3 linked regions of the Cricetulus griseus genome follow. The protein of the gene in region 3 purifies or fractionates together with the protein of the main gene of each other region. This does not show direct contact. Links are inferred from orthologs where the notes say so. Each region holds a gene or a part of one and is shown on either strand. Other genes may lie near its edges.

Region 1 (3,597 bases), on a different chromosome or scaffold from region 3:
AAGGATTAAGGTACCTTACAAAATGCCTCAATTCCAACACAGTTTTCCCTTGTTATAAACTCAAGAGTCCTATTACAATAGGTTCCTAAGAGCATACAGTTTTTAATTACTGAAAATGATTTAGGTTAATTTGTGCAATTATGAGAACACACATACTTCAGCCTACCAAATCACTGGCTTTAGCATTGCTGAATTAAACTGCCTTTATAAGAAGATAGCTCACGACAATTGTGAAAGCTGCTAGGAGGCCCGTTCAATAAATCAGGTAACACATATTGATTCAAACTTAGTTCCAAAAGTCTAGATACAGAGAACTGTGTGGATAAAAACTTCATCATACATAATCTCAAAGCTTTGTATCCTTGCTTCTCCATCCAAGTCAAATTTTGTACTTGATGCTCATGAGTCCTACATTATCTTGCCATAAAACGTTTACTTCAGTTCACACCATCTCTCATTTTAAAGTACTTATCCATAATGACTTTGACAATTATTGTAAAACATACCACCTCCTTCAAAGAAAATAAAGACATCCCAGAACATGTTAGCCATTCCTCATCACAGAGACACACTGCCCATCCGTCTGTCCCTTAATATTTTGTTTTCATTAAAGAAAAGACAACTTGAATATCTGAAAAGTGTGATTGGGATTGTTTCCCCTTCTGATTTCCCAGAGACAACAGATAGTATTCCAGAATCCACCCAAAAAAGCTGATTTTTCTTTAAAAGGATGGTGTTTTTCTAGACAAAATGTTATATGTTTCATTAAGAATCTGGGTATGTGGACATTCTACCTGTGAATGCTCTGGGTCTGGAGCCAAAGAATGGGTAGCTGCTTTGGCTTTTTCTACTGAACAAAGTCATACAACACCATACATTATAAATGATATTACAATAATTTATGAATGTACTTTGTCAATGGAATCAGAAGGACAGAACATCTAATTCTTAAGAAACCCAAGCAAATTAAAAAATATGTAATACAATAAAGGAAAAATATTTAAAGAAAAAATTTAGAAGGGACATAGGCAGAATTAACTAAGATTTAAAATGTACTAATTTCTTCATTTAAAGATTCTTCTCATTCAATATTATAGTTTCAGGTCTCTTAAAACAAGGGCTGAATTAAAATACAGTAATTGTTAAACTATCTTCTAGAAAGTCAAGTGTTCCGGAACCTTAAGTTTTCTGTACAGTCCACGTGCAGCTTTTGTGCAGGAGTTAGCAGTGCATGGCACAAGGGTCACTTTTTGCTTTCCCTGCAGAGTTGATGACGCTCATCAGACACCGTCCAAACTCCTCAAGTATCATCCGCTCTGCCGCAGCCTTTGACTTCCCCTTCTTGTCTGCCTGCTCTGCCTGGGCAAGGAGGCAGTTACACGTGGCTTCAGCTACTTCCTTAGTTACAAATGTAAATGGCAATCTGAAATGATGTTTGAGAGAGAAACACAGGTGATCATGAAGTTGACCTGGGATTCTACTGGTACCTTCGTGCTGCACCAGCAAAAGGGACATCAGTTTGAGTCAAACACAGCCTCAAGAGCTCTAAGACACAAGTTTGGTCTCAGTAAGCACATCTAAAAATATTTATCAGGAAACACATTTAACATAAAACACATGACTTACTTCCCAGACAATGCTATCTGGCTCAATAAAATCTGTACCTCTCCACCTATACTGTGCATTCTTTCACACAGATCTTCCCAGTGTGTGAATGCTCTTTGAGTGCTGCCCTGGCTTGAGGGCCTCTTTCCTGACACACAGAGGAATTCCATGAACACTACTGGGAACCAAAAGAACTACTGAAAACAAAGTTCTACCACACTCCCTCATATTAATTGTTAAAAAGAACAAAAGCCTGATGGATGTGTGGCACACACCTTAAACCCCAGCACTCGAGAGGCAGAGGCAGACAGATTTCTTCAAGTTTGAGGCCAGCCTGGTATACATAGTAAGTTTCAGGACAGCTGTGACTACATAGAGACCCTGTCTCAAACAAACAAAACAACAACAAAAACCCCACTAAATCCCCACCTTATTCCATCACAATAAATAACAAAGGAGTAAACAGACATGTTCTACAAAGGTCCTACAGTGTAGCCAAGTAGTTTCAAAGCCTGAGAGAGATTAATTAATTCAGGCAACTAACAACTTGAAGGACTAAGAACACCCTGTAAGCCAGTTGTTCTCAGCTTTCCTAATGCTGTGACACTTTAACATAGTTCCTCATGCTGTGGTCACCCTGGAACATAACATTATTTTTGTTGCTACATCGTTAACTGTAACTTGCTACTGTTATGAATTATAATTTAAATATCTGATATGCAGAATGGTATAACTTGACCCCTGTGAAAAGGTCATTTGACCCTCAAAGGGGTCACAACCTTCTTGTTGAGAACCTCTGTAATAGATCATTTACAAGGTTCAGTCTCTTAATTTCTCAAATTAATCTATAATACACTAATATAAATAAATCCAAGTCCAATTTACTGTGTTAACAGCAGACCTTGAAAAATACTGGCAACAGAAATGCTTCATGCAGTTCCCAGAAAGCTGAGACGGGAGACGGAGTGTGTTTTTTCCAGACTAGGAATTAACTCAGACAGAAAACACAGGCTACCTACTTTTGTAGGCATATATTCTTTTCAGGTAATTAAGTTATGTATTTATATATAATTCCTTTATATATTTTATATATAATTCTTAAGATATAATACCCTTGCTTATTTTTATTAATTTGTTTTTACTTACTGATTTCTTTTTTCAAGACAGGGTTTCTCTGTGTAGCCCTTGCTGTCTAGGAACTTGCTCTGTAGACCAGGCTGGTCTCGAACTCAACCTTGAATCCACCTGTCTCTGCCTCCTGAGTGCTGAGATTAAAGGAGTGCACCAACATACTCAGTTGTTTATTTTTTATTTTGTTTTGAGATGGGGTAGTGCTTTATTGTGCAGGCTGGCCTGGAATTCCAAATGATTCCTGCCTCAGCTCCTGAGCAGCTAACAGCAGCCACCACTGTACCAATGCATGACTTAAGTCAAACTTCTGCACTCCAGAGCTCTGCAGTCTAGTGAGGCAGGAAATAGGAGACTACACTACCACAGTGCAATGTGGAGGCCACGAACAGGACTAGTCACAGTCAAAAGTGCTAAAGAAATGAGGAGCACCACTGAAAGCACAATAAACCCAGGCTTTCTTAAAAGTTTCTCACAGTACATCTACCCAAGTTAGCAGACAGAAATCCTGTTAATATACATAGCAAACTAAAGGACTTCTGTGCATTGTAGGATCTGACAGTGTTCTCCCCCCTCCCAACTCACTTAAAAGGTAAGTAAGGTAGAAGGAAAATGGAAAATTCAGGTTGGCAACAGTGGAGAGTCTGGAGTTAGCATTGTCTCCCTAAAAAGAAGCCTTACTAAAAGTGAACGTCTGAGGCACAGATAAAAAGGCTTTGAGAAGAACTGACTCACTTTCCTCCTCCACTGTTCAGGGCTGGGGTTGGCCTCGTCAGCAAGTCTGAGATCTGAGAGGACAGCTTGGTCTTGGCTGCTGTCTGTTGCTGGACCCTCACTTCAGCTGCATCTGCTAAGTGCATCAAG
Region 2 (4,332 bases), on a different chromosome or scaffold from region 3:
GCTGGGATTACAGATGTGTGCCACTAAACATGGTTTATCCGGGTGCAGAGGACTGCATGCCAGACAACACTCAACCAACTGAGCTACATCCCTAGCTCTAGACACTAGATAGTAAACCCAGTACATCGATTTGCCTAGAGAACATATTAAAATATATTTTCTGGTTCCCATGAAACCCTGAGGGATGGAAATATAAGTATAGTAGCTTTCTCTCAGAGTTGTTGCTAGAATTAAATATAAAGACTGGAATTTTTTTATAAGCTTCAACAGAAATGACAATATATGTTTATTTAATGCTTTTGTTTTCTCGTCCAGGAATTGATTTTGTGATATTTGAGTGATGAAGTACCCCATAACCAGGAGTGTGCCCTGTAGTTTTGTCTTGTAATATTATAAATATGCCTATTACCTAACTTCTAGTCTATAAATATGTGCTTGTGAGAGCCAGGATTAGTCAAATTTCTCAAGCTGACCATCCTTTGAGACTTATAAAAATTTTGACATCATCAAAGCCGCTAAGTGTACTTCTTAGCAGATGAGGTGTGAATTATTTTAAGCGGGCGCTTCATTGTGGGTAGAATACAAGGTTAGGCTCAGCGATAAATTTGCTAATGCATTACAAAACCAACTCATCCTAGTGAAAGCCCACTTTTTCTTAGTGTTAGCACGTTTTTTTTCGTAATTCCAACGTGCTACAAATGGTTTAGGCAAACCAGGGCCAATGCAAGGGGCATGCTGTCGATCTTAAAAACAAAAACAAAAAAACACAAAACAACCCCAACTCCTCCCATTTCCCCAACCGTAAGCTTATTGAGAAAGGTCGGCTATTCCTGGAGAAATTCTAAGAATTACAACCATTCCTAAGTGGAGACTGCGGTAGACAGTATTCAAGTTAGCGTTCTAGTCCGTTGACCACGGAAGGCTGGTTGGTTCTTGGTGAAGGTAAAAACACCTTTGCTATTTTTCTGCAACATTCACCAAGTCAGCAGGCGCGGCTCCACGAGGGCAGGCTGAGCGGTTTCCCCAAGAACACACCGATCAAACAACCAGGGGAGGAGGGACTGAAAGTGCCTGGTGTACTGTCACAGGCCAGTAATTACCCAAACCACCTCGTCCTGGGACCGGCTTTCAAAGGGACACCAAAGCAAAGCTCGAAAGGTGACAGCCAGGAAAACGGGAGAGGTGGCTTTCCCGGCATGCTCTGCAGCACACTGAGGGGCGCCAGACGCATCCCGGCGTGCAACGGGGAGCGCCCAAGGGCGATGGTTCACGGCTCCTGGAGGGGCAGGCGAAGTTAAGCCGGTAGGTGTGATCTTACTTAGTTTCGGGACCCCGCTCTCTCGGTCCCCCTTTGCGGACGCTGCCCGGTAAAGGGCACAAGCAGGGTCTTGTGGCCACGCTCCCCTTGCGCGTGCGAGCCACTTTCGGTGCCGCTTCGAGCACCGTGCCAGGTGATTAGCGGCTGTGGGCGGGCCTGCGCGCGGCACGTGACTGGGCCTGGCAGCCAATGGCCAGCCGGGTGGTCCGGCAGCGCGACGATCCCGGGACCCCGGAGCTGCGCGGCGTGGGCCGACTCCCGTCCACCCGGCAGGTACGCGCAGGCGCCTCGTTTGTCACGCGCTCCGTCCGTCCCCGCGCGCCCAGTGGCGGGGACTCGGCCCGAGGCGTTGAGAGCCTGTCGTGGGTGTTTTCCGTGGGCAGGGGGACGGCGAGGGTGAGTGTGTGTGTGGGGGCGCCGCGGCGTCACGTGCGCGCCGCAGCCTATCGCAGGCCGAGGCGCATCCGCAGCCCTCCTGGCGCCCTGGGGTGCGACGTGTTCCGTGAGGCTCGGGCGGGCCCTCACTGTTGGAGCGCTCTTTCGAAGCGCGTGTGCGGCCTGGAAAATCTGGCTGCGATGTTGCGTCCGCTCGGCTCCCGCGCGAGCACGGACGACAAGTTCTCGGCAAAATGGCTGCTGGAAACAGTCGCCTAGCAGGGGCAACGCTGGGGCCGCGTGAAGGTCACATGACGAGGTTGGCAGCGCGTGCTGCTGGCGCGGGGAAGGGGGAGGCCCGGGGCGTGGCGAGTCACGTGTCCGCGGCTCGCGAGCCTGTGATTTCGAACGACTTTGCGGAGGCCCGCTGGTCGGCTTCCACCCCTCCCTTCTCGAAGCGTGGCTAGAGTCCGTGAGAAAGCCGCGCGCTGCGGCGGAATCGACCTTAATCCGGGAGGTTGGACGCAGGGTCTGCGCCTTTGGCCAGTTTTGTCATCTTTCTGTCTATATTTTAGCAAGGTAGAGATGATTGTTTCCTATCGTCTTAAGGCCCGAGATTCCCTGGCCTCAGTACATGCAGATAACCAAAATAACAGGTGGTGATGGGAGTGAGGCTCACTAACAGAATGCTTGCTTGCTTAGAGTTTAGAGTGTTTTAGGATAGGCCCTTGATCCCCTATCACACAGTGAGCACATTATTATTTACTGCCGGAGAAGCTTTTCTCTCAAAGACCTCCCTCGACCACTCCATCTACCTTTTCGTTTTGAGGCAGTGCAGACCAGGCTGGCTTCGATTCTGTTCAAGTTTTGGAGTTAAAGGCATGTATGGCCATGCCCAACTAGCCTTATCTGTCTTGATCTGTTCCATTTCTGCTATATATTTGTTTCATAAAGCTGTCTGAAAAGGTATAGACTTAACACTTGTAAACATTTTGAAGCTTCCTACCATCCAGTCTTTCACCAAGGTCAAGGCTTTGTAGAAATAAAAAACCTATAAAGGTGTGTATCATGACATATCTGGTAAATAACACACTTTTAACTTTTTTGGGGGGGGGAGCTGGGGATTAAACCCAGAGCCTCAATTGTCCTAGACAAGAGCTTAACCACTGAGTTTTACTTCAATGTACTACTGTTTATATTTTATAATATCTTTTGATTTCTCTTAAAGTGCCTTGGAATCTCATGGGAACAGAATTTGAAAACATTCATTGAGCAATTAATAGCTGTCACTTGAATAATTACACAAATAGCTAACTTTTTTTTTTTTTTTTTTTTTGAGACATGGTTTCTTTGTGTATCCTGACCATCCTGTAGACCAGGCTGGCCTCCCAATTCAGAGATCCACCTGCCTCTGCCTCCCAGATACTGGGATTAAAGGTGTGCACCACCACCATCCAAGAGTAGCTAGCATTTTTATAGCCTAGTGTTCTCAGTATTGTTTCTTCTTTTTCTTTTCAGTTTCTTGGTGACAGGGTCTTATGTAGGCCATATGGATCTCAAACTTACTATCTAGCCAGGAATGATCTTGAATTTCTGATTCACCTGCTTCTATCTTCTTGTGTTCCTGGATTACAGGTGTGTGCCACAATACCCGAGTCTGGTCTATTCAATACTGGAATAGAACCCAGGGCTTCCTACATGCTAAGGCAAGCATTCTACCAATTGACCTACATCTTCAGTCTTCCAGAGTTTGTTGGAAAAGTGCAGATTTTTTAATTTTTTTTTCCTGATACACGGTTTCTCTGTAGCTTTGGAGCCTTCCTGGAACTCACTCTGTAGACCAGGCTGGCCCTGAACTCACAGAGATCTCAATGCTGGGATTAAAGGTGTGCGCTACCACCACCACCTGTCCAGTAGGAGAATTTTTGGGGTGGAGGTGGGGGGTGTTTCCAGACAGGGTTTCTTTGTGGCTTTGGAGGCTGTCCTGGAACTAGCTCTTGTAGACCAGGCTGGTCTTGAACTCACAGAGATCCACCTGATTCTGCTTCCCCAGCTCTGGGATTAAAGGCGTGCACCACCAATGCCTGGCTACACTTTTTTTCTTAAAGATTATTAATTTATTATGTATATAGTGTTCTGCCTGCATATTTCCCTGCAGGCCAGCAGAGGGCACCAGATCTCATAATGGATGGTTGTGAGCCACCATGTGGTTGCTGGGAATTAAACTCAGGACTTCTGAAAGAGCAGTCAGTGCTCTTAACCTCTGAGCCATCTCCCAGCCCTAATATTAGAACATAGTACTTTTTGTAGTTATAATCTTGTTCCTGTGTTTTCCATCCCCATATTTATTTATTTATTTATTTATTTATTGGTTTTTCAAGACAAGGTTTCCCTGTGTAGCTTTGGAGCCTTTCCTGGAACTATCTCTTGTAGACCAGGCTGGTTTTGAACTCACGGAGTTCCGTCTGCCTCTGCCTCCCAAGTGCTGGGATTAAAGGCAAGCGCCACCACCTGGCTCCTTTTTTTTTTTTTTTTTCTTTCTTTACCTGTCTAGATTTGTCTCAAACTTGCTATGTAGCTGAGGCTGGTCTTTAACTCCTGAATTTCCCACCCTAGCAGGAATACTGGCAATTTCTGAA
Region 3 (4,324 bases):
CCTGCTTCACGGTCTTCATTTTCTGCTTCACTTGACTCCTCCAAATAGGAGCTGCTCTCACTGCCTGCACTGCTGTTGTAACTCCGGAAGCTATCATAGCCCCCAAAGAGTTCCAAGTCATCATCCTCCTCTTCTTCCATTGGCTCTGAAGATGGCGTCTCCTAGTGGAAGAATGACATTGTTTAGCTTGGGAAGAAAATTTGCAAACCTGGTAATGACCCAATGTGGTTGGGGATTTGAACTCAGGTCCTCTGAAAGAGCAGTAAGAGCTCTTAACCACTGAACCACCTCTTCAGCTCCCTACAGGATATTTTAATATGGACAAAAGAGAACACAGATGGAGTTATAGCTGGATAAACCTACCATAAGCTAAAATATTATAAATTGAGCAGCTGGAGAGATGGCTCAGTGGTTAGGACCACTGGTTGCTCTTCCAAGAGGACCCAAGTTTGGTTCCCAGCACCTACAAGATCAATCATAACCTTCTGCAGCTGCAGTCCCAGAGGATCTGATGCTCTCTTCTGGCCTCTGTGTGCATCAGGCATGCATATGGTGCAGACATACATGCAGGCAAAATGACTATACAAAAAAATCTTTTTTTTAAAGATTTATTAAGTATATAGTGTTCTGTCTGCATATATCTATGCAGGCCAGAAGCGGGCACCAGATCTCATTATAGATTGTTATAAGCCACCATGTAGTTGCTGGGAACCAAACTCAGGACCTCTGGAAGACCAGCTAGTTGAAAATCTTTTTAAAATAAAAATAAAATGCTGGGTGGTAGTGGTACACACCATTAATCCCAGTAACTTGGGAAGCAGAGGCAAGCAGATATCTGTGAGTTCAAGGCCAGTCTATTCTACATAGCTAGTTCTAGGACAGCCAGGGCTAAACGAAATCCTATCTCAAAAAAAATTATATACATATTATATGCTGAAAATTCATTTAAGACATCTAGGAGGCCGGGTATCATGGTGCACACCTAATCCCAGCATTCAGTGGCAGACTCATCACTTTGAGTTTGAGGCCCACCAGGTGTACACAGCAAATTCCAGGTCAGCAGGCGTTAGATATCTCCTTTCTTTTTTTTTTAAAGGCTCACTTTCTCTGTGTATCCTGTCCTGAAACTCATTCTATAGACCAGACTAGCCTTGAACTTAGAGATCTGCCTACCTCAGTTTCTGGAATGCAGGGATTATAGGTGTACACCAACACTGCACAACCCTCTCTTAAGGAAAGAAAAAGAGGACATCTAGCCTACCTTAGCTTAACAATATGGTGCACAGCAGGATATTGGGTTGTTTCCCCTAGTGACTGCATGGCTAATTGCAGGCTGTAGGTTGTGCCTCTGCCCACCACCAACCTCTCATATGGGTAGCTTGGGTACAGAGCAAACTTCGAACTTCAAAGTACAATGTCTACTGAATAAATATTGCTTTCACGCCACTATAAAGTCAAAACATTATGCCAGGGATCAGAGTTCTATACAATAATGTGGAAATATCCCAAGCACCACACAAAGAAAAAATTTCCTGGGCAGAAGGCATTTGAAATCCATTCTTCCCTGTTCAGTATACGCACACCTGAATGATTTTGATTCAAAACAATTTTTATTTTGAGACAGGGTCTCTCTGTAGACCAGGCTGGCCTTGAACTCAGAGATCCACTTGCCTCTGCCTCCCGAGTGCTGGGATTTAAAGGCGTGTACCACCACCACCTGGCTCAAAAACAAATTTAAAGCTGGCAGCAGAGTACTCCTGCCACTGCCTAGCCCATTGTTCCTTGCAGTGTATTCAATAAACCTATTTCCTTCCTAAAAGGGGGCGGTGAGAAAACTGAGACTGGGACTGTCCCTGGCAGACCTGAGTAAGATGCCACACAGATAGTAGTAGTTTGGCAGCGTGTATCACAGCTTATAGGTGAGCTCTGACCCTAATCAGCTACTGATCCTTGGGTCATTTAACTTATGGGGACCTCAGTTTTCTCATCCATGAAAGAATACTACATAAAAACCCAAGGTTCAAATACCATCTCCAGTGCTTCCTATAATCCACAGCAAGTCAACTCCCATGGTCTCAGCTTCCAAAATGAGGACAATACCACTATTTAATAATATTTTGGGAAGAAGGAATGATAAAAGTAAAACAGTCAGAAGAGTGCTCAGTAAATGTTGGCTATTATTACTTTCGAAAAAGGAAACACACTTCAAATGCAAGGTGTAGTGGGTAACGGGCTGCTGTACCCCATGGAAAAGCATAGCAAGGTTTTGGGAACTGACATCCTTAGCGCCAACCTCTTGCACTTCCCAGCTGTGTCAACGTCCTGGGGGAATCCAACAGGCTGCTTGACCCCCTCCCTACAGAATATGGCAGTGCGTATACTGGGAGACAGACACGTAAAAGCTCCAGCACGGAGTAATAACCAATTTCTATTTCCCTTGACCTCCCGCGTGGAAGCGACAGGCCGCACAATGCCTAAAGCGCCGAACCACGAAACCAAGAAGACAAACGAATGCGTCAGAGTTTGAAGTCCAGTTCCAATGCCCCTGCATGGGGAGGCGTCTCCTCCTTCCCTAGACCCGAGCCCACAGCGTAACAGGAGCAAAAACGAACCCGGCTCGTCTCCGGTCGAACTAAACTCCTGACCTCAGTTTACCAATCCTGCAACTCTCCACCCCAAAGGCGTCGCTAAAACGGGGCGTCCGCCGAGTGAGGCGTTCGGGGCTCTCTTCCTCGGCAGGGCTGAGCCCCTTCCCTCTTACCTCAGTGCCCCGTGGTTTCTCCATGGTACCAAATTCAATTTCCTCAACCGTCACCAGGTGCAGGAAGCCATATTGCCCTCGCCGCTCACCCAGAGCGTGCTCATTGGCTACCACGCCTGATCTGCAGACCAATCACTCCGTAGGAAATAGGAAAAGCCGGTTCCGCGCTACCCGAACCCCGCCTCCATTACAGAGGGGCTGGGTAGCCCAGGCGGTTATGGGAGTTGTAGTTTTCTCCGGGGTGCTTCTCTCATCATCCTCTGTAAACCCACTTTCAATCCTTCCCAGTACCTAGGATGGACGCGTCCAGGCGCCAGACAAATTTTCGCACCCTCTCAGCTAGGAAGTAAAGGTGCTCTTCTACTAGGATGCCTAGAAGAAATGCCTAGTCTCTCTTTCAACTCAGGCAGGCAGAAACTGAATTTCTTTCTTTCTTTCTTTCTTTCTTCTTTCTTTCTTTCTTTTTTTTTTGGGGGGGGGTGGGGTGGGTTTCGAGACAGGTTTTGGAACCTGTCCTGGAACTCTCTCAGTAGACCAGGCTGGCCTCTAACTCACAGAGATCCGCCTGCCTCTGCCTCCTGAGTGCTGGGATTAAAGGTGTACACCACCATGGCCCCGCAAAACTGGAATATTCTTAATCCCTCTGTATGCTATAAATGCTCTGCTCGCTCAAAATACTCAGGCTGGGGCTGGTGAGATGGTTTAGCGTGCAATGGAGCTTGACACGCAAACCCTTTTACCTGAGTTCAAATCTATGAGCCCCTGACATAAAGATGGAAGGAAGGGCTGGAGAGATGGCTCAGAGGGGTTAGTTAGGAGCACTGGCTGAAGTCCTGAGTTCAATTCCCAATAACCACATATTGGCTCACAACCATCCGTAATGAGATCTGGTGCCCTCTTCTGGCCACAGGCATGCATGCAGGCAGAACACTACAAAATAAATAAATCTTTAAAAAAAAAAAAAGATTGGCGGGGCGGTGGTAGTGCATGCCTTTAATCCCAGCACTCCGGCGGCAGAGACAGGCAGATCTCTGTGAGTTCGAGACCAGCCTGGTCTACAGAGCGAGTTCCAGGACAGCCTCCAAAGCTACACAGGGAAACCCTGTCTTGAAAAACAAAAATAAATAAATAAAGATTGGAAGGAGAGAATCGAGTCCATGAAGTTGTCCTGACCTCCATATACACACCCACACTCACATCAAGCAAACACACACATGCTAAATAAATAAAAGCATAAGACTGGAGAAATGGTTCAGTGGTTAGTGGCTGTTTTTTCAAGAGGTCAAGGGTTTAATTTCCAGCACCTACATGGCAACACACAAACGTCTGTAACTACAGTGGATCCTTACCCTCTTTTCTGACCTCTGAGGATGACAGACACTAACATGGGGCATGCACACACACAACAAAACACCTATATACATAAAAATTATAATAATGATATATGTTATAACCTTCAAGCTAGGGCAAATGACTCAGGCAGTAAAGTGATTGCAGCTAAAGCATGGAGACCTTAGTTCTATCCCCTGTACATGATGGAGTATGCCTGTAATTTAATCCCAG

What was found.
Region 1: the proteins of L3mbtl2 (region 3) and Lin54 purify together in Homo sapiens (affinity purification with mass spectrometry; 3 studies listed by BioGRID and IntAct, counting the BioPlex papers as one, with this or other methods). This does not show direct contact. The link is inferred for Cricetulus griseus from reciprocal best matches to the Homo sapiens genes L3MBTL2 and LIN54.
Region 2: the proteins of L3mbtl2 (region 3) and Mga purify together in Homo sapiens (affinity purification with mass spectrometry; 3 studies listed by BioGRID and IntAct, counting the BioPlex papers as one, with this or other methods). This does not show direct contact. The link is inferred for Cricetulus griseus from reciprocal best matches to the Homo sapiens genes L3MBTL2 and MGA.

Annotation. Positions count from the first base shown.
Region 1 is NW_023276807.1:162,482,579-162,486,175, forward strand, and holds part of Lin54 (protein lin-54 homolog), read right to left. Parts: coding exon 3,469-3,597; intron 1,424-3,468; coding exon 1,222-1,423; 3' UTR 1-1,221. UniProt on the Homo sapiens protein: Component of the DREAM complex, a multiprotein complex that can both act as a transcription activator or repressor depending on the context. In G0 phase, the complex binds to more than 800 promoters and is required for repression of E2F target genes.
Region 2 is NC_048599.1:58,605,183-58,609,514, reverse strand, and holds the start of Mga (MAX gene-associated protein), read left to right. Parts: upstream 1-1,511; 5' UTR 1,512-1,591; intron 1,592-4,332. UniProt on the Homo sapiens protein: Functions as a dual-specificity transcription factor, regulating the expression of both MAX-network and T-box family target genes. Functions as a repressor or an activator.
Region 3 is NC_048595.1:378,806,465-378,810,788, reverse strand, and holds the start of L3mbtl2 (lethal(3)malignant brain tumor-like protein 2), read right to left. Parts: upstream 2,893-4,324; 5' UTR 2,786-2,892; coding exon 2,762-2,785; intron 162-2,761; coding exon 1-161. UniProt on the Homo sapiens protein: Putative Polycomb group (PcG) protein. PcG proteins maintain the transcriptionally repressive state of genes, probably via a modification of chromatin, rendering it heritably changed in its expressibility.